Tamandua tetradactyla: one gene and its partner. The protein of the gene in region 1 interacts with the protein of each later gene in a pairwise test. Links are inferred from orthologs where the notes say so. Each region holds a gene or a part of one and is shown on either strand. Other genes may lie near its edges. The genes, in order: APOA1 and APOC1.

Region 1 (7,929 bases):
CCATCTTGCGACCACATTTTTTAAAAGAAATCATTGCTTTGTATTGTAGTAACCAATATGCGCAGTATATGTTGAATGTATATGAATATACTTTCCTATTTCTGTTATTTTAAAATGTCAGAAGTATTTTTTCTCATTTATGTTGAACTAAAAGAGGATTAAAAAAAAAAAACCCTCCAGACCCAAGTTGCAGTAAGACCTTTCATCCTTTTTTTGTGGGGCACTTACAACTCAATAACTTAGTTGGACAGTAAAGGATTGTGAAAATAAAATCCTGATTATGATCTTATGTTGCTCTATTATTTGCCTTGTGGTTCGGAGCCTAGTTGGGAGAAGCATCCAGGTGGGTGGAAGGTAGATACACTGGAAACTTAAGAGGTCAAGGGTGGAGTTGGAGTGATTCATTCTCTCACCCGGCCTTGTGAAACTAGCATTTCTGTAGATGCCTGAACTCAGCTTCATACTGTCCCTCCAGGCACCCTGCTTGGACTCTGTCCCCTCTTAAGGGAGCAGTTGCATTTCCTGCATTTGATGGTAAACAGGGTCCTTGAGAGAGTGCTTTTGAAGGTGTAGCCTCTTCAAAGAGTTGTCCCAGGCTGGGGCTTTTACGAGATGACTCCAATCCGAGTAGTGATACAATAGCCAAATAAGTATTGGAATAGAAAGGGGACTTTTCCTATTGTTTTCCCTCACCTGGACCCTGAAGGTCAGAGTAGAATTTCCTGGGAGGGCCCAGGCAGGGCTAAGAGAGCTGACTGAAGGGCCTCAAGGTGAAAACATTACTGAAGCCAGAAATACTGAGTTTGTAGAAAGAGGGATGAGAAAAGGGGACTTACATCAGCGTTCAATAGTGTGAACTAGAAAGAAGCCACGGGGCCATTTAGAACAGAAAAGACCTTTTGCAATACGGGCCTCAAGATAACAATTTTAGAAATCCTTTGAGTCCTGTACACTCATTTAAGATTAGGTATCTTTAAAATCACCAACAGTGATAGACCCAAATGCCTTCTAAAATCTTGAAACAACCTTTTGCAATATGTGGCACTCCCTCCAGGGTGCCTTCGGGCTAGAGGTAGAATGAGCTTGGAGAGGAAACAGCTATCTCCTGGATAAATAAGAGATCTCTGAGCTTGAGAAAATAGAAGCCATTCTGGCAGATCCTTCCTTTTCTTTCCGACTCTATGTCAGCTTCCACCCAACCCCAACTGCAAGGATCAAGAATTCAGAGGACTGGTGTGTCTCCTGAGGGGTGAGACCCCTGTTCTTGCCACTCACAGATGAGCTCTGCCTTTACCTTAGTCTCCTGAGCAGGAGAGCAGGACAGAATCGGGCAGCAGCTTGGTTACAATGACCTGCCCTAAGGCTTAACTGGGGGCTCTCTTTTCTCTCACCAGGAGCTGCAATAAAATTGCTAAAAGGAAAACTGGGGTGGGGGTGGAGGGAAATACTGTCTGCTCTGCTCAACCAGAACCTCCTCCCCACCCTCACCTCGCCCCTCAGCATCACATCTCAGTACGTACCATGTGCTCTTGGATTATACCAAGCCAAGAGTGCTCCAGAATTTCCAGAGGCTCTTCTTAAGGCCCATGCCTCCAAATGACTCCTTATCTCTCGCTGACCCTTCCTTTCGTATGTCAGTCTCATTCATTGAGCAACTATTTATTGAGTGTCTACTATGTGCCAGGTCTAGCAGGGGACAGAGTCCTTCCAATGCAGACAGACCTGCTGGAACATACGTTGTGAAAGATCAACTTGTTACCCAAATGAGTCGCTGATGGTTTACTTCCAGCACTCCCAGGCCTGTCAGGGGCTCCTGGACCTGCCACTTAGTGACCCACTGCAGAGATGGTTACTCTGGAGACTCGTAGGACAAGGGGAGGAGGGTGCTGGGAATAATGACCTACACTTGTGGGCGCTCCACAGCCTACACTGGTTGGGCCCTCGGAATCAGAGTCTGTGATGAGCCAGGTTAGTTTTTCCATAAGGCCTCTGTCCAAAAAGACTTCCTTTTCAAAATATTAGGAACAAGGGGATTGGGCTAATTTAAATGTCTTTCAATGAAATGGAGGGGACACACTAGTGAATACGTATATTTTAAAAGGAACTTTCCTGCTTGGAAAGATGCTGTCAAGCAGCACCCCCTACCCCAACCCAGGGAACTGAGAAGTTCCTGAACAGAGGACAAGGGTGTAGGAGTCCAGCCCTGCTGCTGGTAGTCCTCAGGCAACACTCAACAGCTGTAAGCCAGGTCCCTGAGTCCCAGTCGTGCCAACACCAAATACTAAAGGCTGTAGGACACAAGTGAGACACTTAGCAGCTCTAAGCTGTGCTTTAATCCCTGGCAAAACAACAATGATAAAATCTGCTCTGGAGCCTGACAGGCACATAGTAAGTTAGCTGCGAAAGTGCTTTGGCCACTAAAGAATAGTGCAAATGTATTAGGTTTAGTTAAAATAATCATTCAGTAACAAACCAAAGAGAAGAGTAAAACAGTGGCAAGTGGCTTTGGCGTCCAGCTTTTAGCTTCTGAGATCCCCCACATGCTGGCTGGGACAAGCTCTAACCCCAAAGGAAGGAGCCTCTCTTGGACCAGGGCATCTGGGAGCTGCCCCAGAAGGCACCAGCCTCTTTCCCACTCAACACACAGGTGGAAAAAGCTGGGATAGCCAAGAGGTGGCCTGGATGGGCTGTTCACTTCCCTCTCTGCACAGTTCCACAGACCTCTGGGCCTGGGTAGATATCCTATATCCCAGCAGCTGGGAGTCAGGGGCACACAGAGAAATATGGGACTCCCGCCTTCCCTTGCTTCTGCTGCCAGAAGCCAACACAAACATGCATTGTGATGATGCCATGAACCAGTGATTGCATACTTTGGATGGTTTCTATGGTATGTGACTATATCTCAATAAAACTGCATTTAAAAAAAAGAAAGATGGAGACCTACAGTCTGACAATGCAGATGTGTTCATGGGAGCAAGGGAACAGAATGCCAGAGACTGGGATTGTGGGACATAGAATAGCTCCCGTTTGCTGAGTGCTAGGTACCCTTCTAACACTTTCGCATACATGTTGTATTCATGTTCTATTGCTCCTTAACAAAATGCCATAAACTTAGTGGCTCAAAACGATATGAATGTGTGATCTGACAGCTCTGGATCACAAAAGCCCAAAATGCATCTCACCAGGCTAAAATCAAGGTGGCAATAGGGATGCCCCCCTTCGAGGCACTAGGGAAGAATCCTCCTCGCCTTCTCCAGCTTCTAGAGGCTGCCCAGGTTCTTGGGCTTGGGGCCCAGCTCCAGCAATTGCATCACTGCAACCTCTGTTTGCATGGTCACATGATCTCCTCCGCCTTTCCCTCTCCTCTCTCTCTCCTGTATATTTAAGGATACTTGTGATTACAGTGGGCCCACCTGGATAATCTCCCCATCTCAGGGTCCTTGACCTAGTTACACCTGCAAACTTGCTTTTGCTATGTGAGGTGATGCATTCACAAAATTAAGACAAGGGCATCTTGGGGGTGCAGGGAGCATTATTCTGCCTACCCCCCATGTCCCTCTTATAGCCCTGGGAGAGGCACATTCTATCATTATCTTCATTTAACAGATAAGAAACTGAGACACAGGGAGCTTATGTAACTTGCCTGAGATCATACAACTTACAAGTGATAAAGCTGAGACTCCAACCTAAGTTTATCTGGCTCCAAAGCTGCCTTCTCTGAGATGAGTAACCAGAGACCAGCTAGCTAGAGTCCACAGGAGACCTGGCAGCCAGCCTCTCCAGAATCCAGCAGCAGGGGCACCATCTGGGTTTTAGAGTATCAGGGAGTTTCCTGAGCAGAGGGCACATGGCACATTTCTGCCCTGGGTCCTAAGTCCAGAGACCTGGGTTCTAGGTCCAGCCCCACCTCTAACTTCCTGAGGGACATTGGGCAAGTTCCTTCTGGTCTCATCTGTATAATGGTGCGGTCTGGGGGAGGCTGGGAAAAGTGGAGCTCAAAGTTTCTTTCAGCTTGGCCATTCCCGGGTTCAATGATTCAGGTCCTGTCAATGAGGGGGTGTCGGGGGTCCTGGGCCTTCCAGGAGAAACCTTACAAAGTGGTGGGGCCAGCCCCGGCACATGCAGCGCCCGCAGTTCTCCAGCAGCCTGAGAAACTGGGTTTTCTTGTCCCTCTTTCACAGAAAGGCAGCTGAGACTCGGGGAGAGAACACAACTGGCTCAACATCTTCCAGACAGTTGGAGGCAAAATGAAGTAACAAACCAGGTCTCCCACCACCTCCTAGCCCGGGGTCCTGCCTCCACACCCTTAGGCTGGTGTCCAGTGTCACCTGCGTGTGCTGTGAAAATATGCACAATGCACAGAGGCTTCCATTAAGATATAGGTATTCAATTTAAGTAAGCGTCCTTATTCTGAGTTGATGCCTTTTTTTGATGTTAAAAAACCTTTCCTTTTTTTTCTTTTTTGAAGAGATGGTTGTGGAAGATGGTGGGGGTTTTTTTTGGTCTGGGCGGGAGGCAGGGCACGGGGTGTATATGGTATCATTACATGTCAAGATTAAAAGTTGGCAACTCCATGTTGGCTTCTAGAATTTGACCTGAAATGTTAGCAGCCTCTGAAATCCTAAAGTCTGGGAACCACTGAGCCATTCCATGTCCCCCCAGCTGACTCTCCAGGGCCTCAGGTGCATAGGTTTGGGAGGTTTGTGGATGGGTCGGAGAAAGCAAAGGGTTGTGCAGGGGCTGTGCGACTCGAGGTGAGGCAGTGCTTGGGGGAGGAATGTCTGCTGCCTTTGTAGGGGATGGGGACGGGGGAGGAACAGCGGTGGAGTGTGGGACGATCTCCCCTGGACACAAGGGGAGGGAGGTGGGTGGGGGTGGAGGTGGGGGACCCGGTGGAAGAGGAGTGAAGTCTGCGGCCAGCTGCTCTTTTCTCTCTTGCCCCCTCTCCCCCGCTGTGCTGGGACAATCAACAATGGTAGTGCACAGCCCGCTCCAATCCCCGCTGGAGGGGATGGGGGTAGGTGCAGCCCACCCAGAGCCTGGCTATCGACAAGCCTGCACGCACACCCCTGCACACCCCCTCCTGAATCCTTGATCCCTTGGCCTTGCAGCCCCCGCAGCTTCCTGTTTGCCCACTCTATTTGCCCAGCCCCAGGACAGAGCTGATCCTTGAACTCTAAGTTCCACATCGCCAGGAACAGTGTGCAGCCACAGCACCCAGGCTGGGCTTATCAGCCTCCCAGCCCAGCCCCTGCCTTGAGACATAAATAGGTCCAGGAGGAGAACTGGCTGCTCAGAGACTGCTGGAGGGTTCCAGGTAAGTGCCGCTGCCCCCCTCCAAGGAACACTGGCTCCCACCCACCCCACCCCACCCCCCAGCTCTAGGCACTTAAGGCCTTGGCTCTGGGATGCTGGCTCCAGACTCTGCCCCATGCTGGGGCCCTGGGTACCCAGGTCTTCCCCCACTTCTTGTCCCTCCTCCCGTCTTGGTGGAGTGAGCTGGGGCGTCCAGGGCTCCCTCTGCTAGAGGCCGGCCTCTGCCCAGCCAGGCCCCTCTTCTCCTGCAGGCCACCCACGTCCCTTCAAGATGAAAGCCGTGGTGCTGACCCTGACCGTGCTGTTCCTGACGGGTAGGTGCCCCCAAGCTCGGGGACCCCTCAACCACCAGGGGGGCCCTGCCCCCTCAACCCTGTGTTCCCCGGGGGGCAGAAAAGACAATTTCTCACTAACTCCTGCACCGGCCATCCCATCTCCCTGGCCTCCAAGCCTGGCATTGCAGTTCAGATCCCATCCCAGGGTGCAGGCCTGAGCCGGGTCCCCCCCACCCCTTCCCACCCCCAGGGAGCCAGGCTCGGCACTTCTGGCAGCAAGATGACCCCCAGGACCCTTGGGACCGAATCAAGGATTTTATGACCATCTACCTGGATGCAGTCAAAGACAGCAGCAGAGAATATGTGGCCCAATTTGAGTCCTCAGCCCTGGGAAAACAGCTGAAGTAAGGACCCAGCCTTGGGGTTTGGGGTCGGGGCTACTGGTCCCCAGGGAGCAGAGAGCCTGGAGGAGGATGCTGGAGCCAGGCTGGGCGAGTCCCCACCTGCTAGCTGATGAGCTAGGAGGCCCCGTAGAAACAGGAGTGGGATCCCCAGGCATGGTCACCAGCTGTCCAGCAGACAGAACAGATACTGGCCAGTTAGTAATCACAGCCCTGCCTCCCGCCTGCTAGTCAGCAAGCCCCTTCCCCTCTGTACGGCCTCTTCTGCTCCTGCCTAGCCACAGCTGTCTTTGAAAGAGAGGAGGCTTGACATACAGAAGTGTGGTTCTTAAAGGCCCAGCACTGGGGACTGGCAAGACTGAACTCCAATCCCAACTCTGTCTCTCACTCAGTAGCCCTGGCTGGGTCCCTGCGCTGCTCTGTGCCTGGGTCCCTCGTACAATGGGGCATGGGGCGGGGGGAAGGGGAGCTGGGGGAGGTCGGGGAGCTGGGGGAGCTGGGAAGAGTTAGGTGGAGAGCCTGGCCCTCAGTGACTGCACAATCAGGGACACATACAGCCCAGATCTCAACACAGGGAAACTGGGGTGCTGGGCCTCCAGCTCCTGGGGAGTCCAGGGTCCCTGGGAGGTCACTCCTCGGCCCCTCTCTGCCCCTTCAGTATGAAACTCCTGGACAACTGGGACACCTTGAGCAGCAGCGCCACCAAGCTGAGGGAGCAGCTGGGCCCCTTGACCCAGCAGTTCTGGGATAACCTGGAAAAGGACACAGCCGGGCTGAGGCAGGAGATGACCAAGGACCTGACGGAGATAAAGCAGAAGGTGCAGCCCTACCTGGACGAGTTCCAGACCAAGTTGCAGGAGAGGATGGAGCAATACCGCCAGAAGGTGGCGCCGCTGACCAAGGAGTTCGGGGACTCGGCGCGCCAAAAGTTGCAGGAGCTGCAGGAGAAGGTGAACCCGCTGGCGGAGGAGCTGCGCGAAAACGTCCGCAGCTACGTGGAAACGCTGCGCTCGCAGCTGGCCCCGCACAGCGATGAGCTGCGCCAGCGACTGGCCGCCCGGCTCCAGGCGCTCAAGGAGGACGGCGGCAGCAGTCTGGCCGAGTACCACGCTAAGGTCTCCGAGCAGCTGAAGGTGCTGGGCGAGAAGGCCAAGCCCGCTTTCGAGGACTTTCACCAGGGCATCCTGCCCGTGTTGGAGACCTTCAAGGCTAGCTTCCTGACCGCCCTGGATGAGGTCACCAAGAAACTGAACCCCAGCTGAGGCCACGGGACCCCTTCCTGGCCCTGGGGCCCAAGCATCAGACCCAAGGGTGGCCCTCTCCTGGGCTTCTGCTTTCCATCTTTCAATTTCATAGAATAAAAGTTTCCAAAGTGGGACACAACTTCTTTGCCTGGGGTGCTGGGTGCTGGAGGGGACGTCTAGGGGAGCCGGCCTGGGGCTCGGCCAGGGGTGGGGGGCTCCTAGGTTGGTTTGCGAGGGGAAGCCTGTCAACCCTACGCCCGGATGGAGCCTCTTGAGGGCCAGGTGGGGGGACCTGCTGAACCTGGCTGGGTGGGCCTTGGGTTGGGAGTAGGGTAGTCAAGCCCCACTCCCAACGGGGCCCAAAGAAAGGAGATAATAGCGGACCAGGCAAACAACAGGTAACCCAATGCCAACTGTCCCAGTAATTGAGTCCTGCAGCCCTGTCTGAGGAAGGTCAGGGAACCAGGTTGGGTTTTCCGGGAGAACTGGGTTCCTTGTCTCCACAGGTGTTCCCTTAGGGGAGCTAGACAGGTGGAGGTGTTCACGGGACAGATGACAGGAGCCTCTTCCTGCCCTCTGGCTCTAAGGGACACAGCATGGGGCCCCAGGGAGTCATTAGAACTTGGGGGATATGGGCAGGCTCAAATGAAGAGCTTGGAGCGTGTCCCTTACTCCTTTATTAATTCAACATTT
Region 2 (7,461 bases), on another chromosome or scaffold:
AAGTTGAAGCTTAAAAGGGGAAAGCAGAACAAGGAATGCAGTGTTGACGTTTAGCAAGCACAGTTGGGACACAGATGGAACTTGGGCGCAGTGAGTGGAATTTGAACCCAGGGAGAGGAAGATGCCACCTAAATGTGGACAAGGAGATGGGAGAAGACAATGGGGAATCACATGGACAATGGAGAGGCAGTTTGGTAACGTGTTTGGATTAGGTCATAATAGATAATGGAGGTGGGCGGGTGGGCACGGCCTTTCAAGGCTGGGGATGGGACTGACGAGTCTCTCTCTCTCCCTAGACTGGCTGATCACAGGAAGATGAAGATTCTGTGGGCTGTGTTGGTGGTCACACTCCTGGCAGGTATGGTGACCTGGTGGGATGGGGGCCGGCGGGCTTGCTTAGGTTCCCCCTCCTCCTCCCATACTTACCTTTACTCCTGCCCCCTTCAGGCCCTGGGCTCCCCCACCCCCACCCTTCTTTCAACAGTCTTTCGCTCGAGAGCAGGCCTGAGTCTCAGGCCTCTTTGCTATTCTTTGGTTCTGGGCCTCAGTTTCCCCATCCCTAAAATGGAAACAACAATTTCTAGCACATAGTTTGAGCTGTGATTCTGTTTGTTCTCCATCCCTACACCCCTCTCCCCACACCCCCTGGCATGGCCCTGCGTGGGGCCTGCAAAGACAGTTATACGTGCTTGGCAAGTGATGAGACACACGGGGTCCCCCCTCCACTGCTCCAAAGAAGTCCATGAGGACTTGCGGAGCAGCCACTGGGTTCCAGGCACCTGGTGGAGGGGCCAGAGGGAGCAAGAGGGCTTTGACCAGGCTGTGAACTTGCTCCTCACAGGATGCCAGGCCGATACAGAGCTGGAGCTGGAGGTACCGCTGGGGCAGGAGCAGCCCAGCAAGCCCTGGGAGCTAGCCCTGAGACGCATCTGGGAGTACTTGCGCTGGGTGCAGACAATGACTGACGAGGTGCAGGACGAACTCCGCAGCACCCAGGTCAACAAGGAGCTGACGTGAGTGCCTGCCTGGGCGCCGGACCCTCCTGATGGGAGGCTCCCTGGGGACTCTCACGTCTGGGTTTCTCTCTCTTCCTGTAACCAACTCTTGAGGTTGCTGGATTCTGTCCATTTCTTGCTTGCCTCCGTCTCTAACTCCTGGCTTGACTCCTGTAGTGTAGTATCTCCCGCTCTGCCTTTCCCCCCTTCGTTTTTTGGGGGGTTCTCTGCCTGCCACTTTCTTGCCCAGCCCCAGCGGGGGTCTTTCTCCCCATTTCTCTCTCTCCACCCTGACTCTCCATCCTCTCCTGCCTGCCCTCTTGGCCCACAGGACACTGATAGAAGAGACCATGAAGGAGGTGAGGGCTTACAAGTCCGAGCTGGATGACCAGCTGGGGCCCGTGGCCGAGGAGACTCGGGCGCGCCTGTCCAAGGAGCTGCAGGCGGCACAGGACCGGCTCGCGTCGGACATGGAGGACCTGCGCGGCCGCCTGGAGCAATACCGCAACGAGGTCAAGGTCATGCTGGGCCAGAACACCGACGAACTGCGCACCCGCCTCTCCTCCCACCTGCGCAAGATGCGCAAGCGGCTGCTCCGCGACGCCCAGGACCTGCAGAAGCGCCTGGCCGTGTACCGCGCGGGGGCCCAGGAGGGCGCCGAGCGCAGCGTGGGCACCATCCGCGAGCGCCTCTGGCCGCTGCTGCAACAGGGCCGCCTGCGGGCCGCCACCGTGAGCAGCCTGGTGGGCCAGCCCCTGCGAGAGCGCGCGCAGAGGCTGCGCGGGCGGCTGGAGGAGATGGGCGCCCAGGCCCGCGACCGCCTGGAGGAGGTGCGCGAGCAGATGGAGGAGGTGCGCGCCCAGGCCCACGACCGCCTGGAGGAGGTGCGCGCCCAGGCCCACGACCGCCTGGAGGAGGTGCGCGCCAAGGTGGAGGAGCAGGCCGAGCAGATACGCCTGCAGGCCGAGGCCTTCCAGGACCGCCTCAGAGGTTGGTTCGAGCCAGTGATGCAAGACATGCAGCGCCAGTGGGCGGAGTTCGTGGAAAAGGTGAAGGCGGCCGTGGGCACCGCCCCCACCACTATCCCCACCACCGCGCCCCCCTCCCTGCCCAGCGAGAATCAGTGAGCGCCCAGGCGCTGTGCCCACCCCGCCCCACTCCTGCCTCATGGCTCTGTCTGCCCCTCAGCCAGCTGGGAGCCCTGGCTCTGCCCCCACTGCTCTCCTTGGGGGCCCCAATCTAATAAAGATTCATGGAGTTTCACAGCAGTCTCCAGGCATGCAGTCGTGATTTCTCACAGCCTGAGCCTCGGTTTCTCTTTCCTTCCCCACCACACTGGCCTTGGGGTGCCCCATCCTGGCGCTTCTGCCTGGCTGACTCCATGTGTGTGTCCCTGCTTCTCTCCATTCTCCCTTTTTCTTATCTTGGCCTCCGTTTTGTTTCTGTCTCCAAAACATGAGTTCTGGAATAAAGCCAGCTTTGGGCTGTTAAATCCTGCTGTTAACTCAGACCATCTGAGTGATGTTGAGCAGTGGGGGTGGAGGACTCCCTTTCCCCATAAAAAACAACACCTGTGTCCCCATAATAAACAACACCTGCCTCCTACACTCATGAATCAAAATGCCCCGAGACCAGTGCCATCTTATTACTGTTATCCACTCTCGATTCTCCCTCTCCGTCCAGCCTTATCTGATTCTGCCTCCTTCCCTTCCCTGGCCTCTGGGCCTCTGTCTTGCTCTCCCTGAGAGCTGGTTTCCTGTTTTCCTCCACCTCTATCTTTTATCTCTCCCTCGTAGGGTTTCGTTTCCCCCTTGCCCTCCTTCATCCTCCTCATCGATGTTAGGCGAACCTGCTTTTCCTCTAAGCAAGACCCTCTGTCACTCCTGCCCAGCTGCCTTGCCCTCCCCCTACCTTCATTCTGTCCCTCTCCTCCAGTCCTGTTGTCTGCCTCTTATATCTCCCAGCTATCAACCTTGGGGGAGAAGGGCGAGGTGGCCTTGCTCTGGGTGGGCCTATGCCAGGCCTCCTGGAGACTCCGTGGAGGTCGGGGCCAGGGAGACACAGTTGGAAGTTGGCAGGGTTGGCCAGTGGCGGAGGTGGGGGGGCAGGGGGGTGGGGATGAAGCGCCTGGGAGCTGCTGGCACTTTCCCTCTGCCACCCCCTCAGTTCTCAGCTGAGGAGAGTCAGGCTTCCACGGGCATGGGCCCAGGCTTGAACGTGTGTCTCCCAGGCCAGGCCTGAGCTTCTCCAAGTCCTTGTGCTGACTGCAGATCCTGGCCAGCCTTAAGCACCTATGTGGAGGAGGGTTCCCTGCCCCCCACCCCCTGAGATGACCCACAGGGTTGAGGGAGGAGGAGGAGGGTCAGTGACTCCTAGGTGGGTTGGCCCGGGTGCTGCTGCTTCAGCCTCCCCAGATATCAACCAGGTGTGCAGGGGTGGGGAGAGGGGCGTACATTGGCATGTCTCCCAACTTCAGTTGAATCTTTTAAATTTTTTTAATTGAGGTGCACATCACCTAACACTATGAACTAATAAATGGTTCCATTGAACAGCTGAATCTTGAATTCTCATATATATCTTAGGACCCCTAAGACTGCTAAAAATTTCTGGACGAGGAAGAAATCTCAGCACAGGGGCAGGGGTGCCCCTTCAGCACAGCCTCAGCCAGCTCTAGGGGGCGGAACAAGAGCCGGTGAAGGGGGTTTGGGGAGCAGAGGTGGCAGTGGGTGCCATGGGGTAGGAGTGGGGGACTGGCCGCAGAAGGGAAGCAGAGATGGGGAGCAAAGACACTCCGCCCTTTAACCCCTCCCTGACCTGATGGATGTTCCTTGGGTGTCCCTCAGTTTCCTCATTTGTAAAATAGAACTGCTGGTAGCTGAGTTGGGGGCTGTTTGTCATTCTATTCTTGGGAGCGGGGAGCAGGGCTGGGCAGCAGACGTCTGGGAAGGTGGCCCGGGCGCGCACACTGGAAGCGCTGAGCTGGCCAGACCAGGGGCTGTCGCAATCCCGCCAGGGCGGCCTCTGTGCAGCCCTTTCACAACCACCCCCCAAGGCCAGGCCTCCACATGTGGTTGCGGGATTAGGGCACAAGACAAACCAACTGTCAGGGGGCAAGGGAGGTCAGAGGCAGCCCAGCCCCCAGGCCAGCCGAGGAGGAGGAGACTGCCTCTAGCCCTGGGGGGCAGATGTGGAGGTGGCAGGGAGGAGGGTCAGGGGTCGGGATCCATGCAAGGATGTCCAAGTGCACCTAGGAGTGCTGCCTGGGAGAGCGCAGAGGAGCAGGTGGAGTGTTTACAGGGGAGGGGGTTAGGGGGACTGGGCTTTGGTGGAATGGATGGGGGGAGGGCATACATTGGAAGCCTTGAAGCTTAAGTTTTGGAGTTTTAACAGGCTGTAGAGACACCTCCCCACCCCATTCCCCCCAAAAAGGGAGATTGAGGGCAGTGAAGTTAAGACCCCAGAGAGCGTTGGTAGAAGTGTAAGTCCTTCCCAGGTGCAGGAGAAGGGGGAGCTTGAAGGAGGCGGGAGGTGACTTGGGGGTTTGGAGTGTGGGGCTGTAGCTGGAGACATGCAGGGGCACAGGAGGAAGAATTGTGTGATTCCAGGAGACTAGCTCTGGAGGGGGTATGTGTGTGTGGAAACAGGGGCCTGGGGACATAGAGTGTGAACTGGGGGGCTGAGCCCCCCGGACCCACCCAGGGTTACTGAGGAACCCCCGGAAATGGGTAGCAAGCAGGAGACCCCTGAGGGAAGAGAGCCACAAGAAGTGAGGGCTGTTTCCAAAGGAGAGGAAGGCCTGTGACAGTCTGAAGACCTCCTGCCCCCCCACCCCCCAGCCGGGGAAATTAGGGGGTGAGAGTGCCAAACAGCAAGGGGCTTCCAGCCTCCAGGACACACCTGGGTCCCCTCTGAGCCCCCAAACCGCGAACAGCCAGGGGCAGAGAGAGGAAAAGGCGGGTGGGTACGAGGAGGCAGGAGGCCAGGGGGTGGCTCAGGGGGCGGGAGACCAGCCTGACCCGCCCCCTTCCCAGCTGATAAAGGCCCTGGGCGGGCCAGGATTTCCCACCCCTGCTGTCCTACATCAGATTCAGGTTAGTGCTCAGAGCCCGGGACGGGACCCCACCCCCAAAAGCGCAAGAAAGGGAGGGGTGGGGATGAATGGGGAGGCAGGAGGGAGGTCATGATCGCCCCCGCCCCGCTCCGCCTGCAGAGTGCCCCTCCGGCCCCGCCATGAGGCTTCTCCTGTCGCTCCCGGTCCTGGTGGTGGCTCTGTGGATGGTGTTGGAAGGTAAACGCAGAACTGGAGGATTTGAGAGTTGGGGGTTTGGAAGCGTGCAGCTGGGCACAGGCCAACTTGGGGCACCCCTGAGAACTCTGGGACCCCTTTTGCTCCCCTGACCCCTAAGAGTCCATGGCGTGCCCACCCTCCAGTGCCAGGTGGGTCTCAAGCCTCTCCCGGGAGCGGCCCAGCAGGCAGCGAATAGGCTCAGAAAAGCCCTAGCAACCGATGACGTAACGCTCCCCTCCCCCAGGGATTGGCTGGCCCGCTTCTGCTGCCTGGGAGGTGGCGAGGGGTGGCAGAGTCAAGCAATCCCTGACAACTTGAGCCCCATCTGGTCGCTCTAGTACCCCCGTTTCTCACCCCCATGAACCCCTAGAATCACATTCAAGGATGACCTTCCCCATCCCTGGAATCCTATCGTAAGGCTTCCCGGTACTGAAATGTTCGCACGCCCCGCCCCTCCATCCTCTGAGCAGGCCCAGCCCCCGCCCAGGCGGCACCCAGCATCCACAGGACCTTGGAGAGCCTCCCCGACAAGCTGAAGGAGCTTGGACAGACCCTGGAAGACAAGTCCCGGGCAGCCATTGAACACATCAAAAACAGCGACATTCCAGCCAAGACCCGGTGGGGACCCTGCCCCAGGCAGGAGAGGGCTGGGGTGTCTCTGGGGGAAGCCTGAAGGAGAAGCCCAGGTCCTCCCCCTTTTACAGATGAGGAAAACAGAGGCCCAGAGATAGTCGACCATATCCCCGTGTTCCCGCAGCCAGCTAGGGCTGCTCAGACTGGGTAGCCAGGTCCCTTAACTCGCAACCTGGGCACATTGCAGAGATGGTCCTGGGTGATGGTGAAGGGCCCAGCCTGGGAGTCTGATGGAACTGCCGTCGACCCCTTATGCCCTGCATGATCCTGGGAGAGGGGCTTCACCCTGGAGCCTCAGTTTCCTCATCTGTAAAATGGCTTTTATTGGAGAGAAGTAACCTGGAGGACCTGCAGAGGGCTTGGCACGTTGGAAAATGTTCAGTAGGTTCTGACATGTTATCCATTTGGTGCTGCCAGGATAGAGAATTGTTCATTGGGAACAATCATTGACTGAGCATTTGCTAAATGCCAGCAATTGTTCCAATGTGGGGACTAAGACAATAGTGAGCAAGGTAAAGTTCCAGCCCTGAGGGAGCTGACATTCTAGGTGGGATAAAACAAACTATAAACCAGCCAACCATCCAGGAGATTAGTGCAGAAAGAGCCCAGTACCATAAACAGACAGGCTGGTGGCCAAAGACTTGGAGGGGTTGGAAAAGGGTTGGTGGCATTTAAATTGAGATCAGAATGGTTAGGAAAGTCCATCCAGGTAGAAACTCCATAAGAATGTCCCTCAATGGAGGTAAGTGCAAAGGCCCTCAGGCAGGAGGATCTGTAGATATGCAAGGTTAAATTTGCCAGGAACGACTTCTGGAGAGGGTGGCCTTTGACACAAAGAAAACAGCCTGGGCAAAGGTCGAGAGGCCAGAAAGAGCCCTTGGAGGAGGAGGGAGCTAGGGCAAGAGTAGGCTTGGAAAAAAGGCAGGTGGTGGGAGATTGAAGACCTCAAAAGCCAGGCCAGGGTGAAGTGTTCCAACTTCAAGGGGCTCTGGTCCATCTGGGAAACTGAGGCAAGGGGCCATATTCACCCAGTGCTGTACTCCTGCTAAGCCCACAGACCAGTGGGGAACTCAGCTCTTTTCTTGGGGAAGAGGGGATAAGGTGCAGGGAAATCAGGAAGACAAATAGGGGGTAGGGCGGGGATTTGTTCATCCTGGCAGGAGGTGTGATGGCACCCAAGGACCCTTCCTCCATGTCTCCCAACAGGGACTGGTTTACAGACACATTAAAAAAGATGAAGGAGAAATTCAAAATTGCCTTCTCCTGATCACCCGGAGGGTCGTCTTGCTCTTCTGTGTCCTTAGCCAAAGGAGAGGCCTCTGAAATTTCCCACATCCTGGACCCTGCCCTGAGGACTCCCTCCACAATGACTCATGTCTCCTTAAACATTAATAAAGTCCTATAAGAGTCCACCTGAGTGCTTCTCTGTGGGACAGGGGCTGCGGGACAGGGTATGGGCTGTGCCTTCGGGAAAGAGTTACAGGAACTCAGACCAAATGAGCATTTTCCACTTGCCCGATGCTAAGGATTGTTGCTCTAATGTCA

Evidence for each region.
Region 2: the proteins of APOA1 (region 1) and APOC1 interact in a two-hybrid assay, tested with the Homo sapiens proteins (2 studies listed by BioGRID, with this or other methods). The link is inferred for Tamandua tetradactyla from reciprocal best matches to the Homo sapiens genes APOA1 and APOC1.

The regions. Positions count from the first base shown.
Region 1 is NC_135334.1:23,995,374-24,003,302, forward strand, and holds APOA1 (apolipoprotein A-I), read left to right. Parts: upstream 1-5,170; 5' UTR 5,171-5,317; intron 5,318-5,567; 5' UTR 5,568-5,587; coding exon 5,588-5,630; intron 5,631-5,841; coding exon 5,842-5,995; intron 5,996-6,650; coding exon 6,651-7,254; 3' UTR 7,255-7,375; downstream 7,376-7,929. UniProt on the Homo sapiens protein: Participates in the reverse transport of cholesterol from tissues to the liver for excretion by promoting cholesterol efflux from tissues and by acting as a cofactor for the lecithin cholesterol acyltransferase (LCAT).
Region 2 is NC_135342.1:18,177,043-18,184,503, reverse strand, and holds APOC1 (apolipoprotein C-I), read left to right. Parts: upstream 1-4,203; 5' UTR 4,204-4,277; intron 4,278-5,029; exon of another isoform or gene 5,030-5,086; intron 5,087-5,205; 5' UTR 5,206-5,225; coding exon 5,226-5,283; intron 5,284-5,753; coding exon 5,754-5,901; intron 5,902-7,122; coding exon 7,123-7,183; 3' UTR 7,184-7,326; downstream 7,327-7,461. Other genes in the region: APOE (apolipoprotein E), read left to right, coding at 297-358, 842-1,013, 1,327-2,122. UniProt on the Homo sapiens protein: Inhibitor of lipoprotein binding to the low density lipoprotein (LDL) receptor, LDL receptor-related protein, and very low density lipoprotein (VLDL) receptor.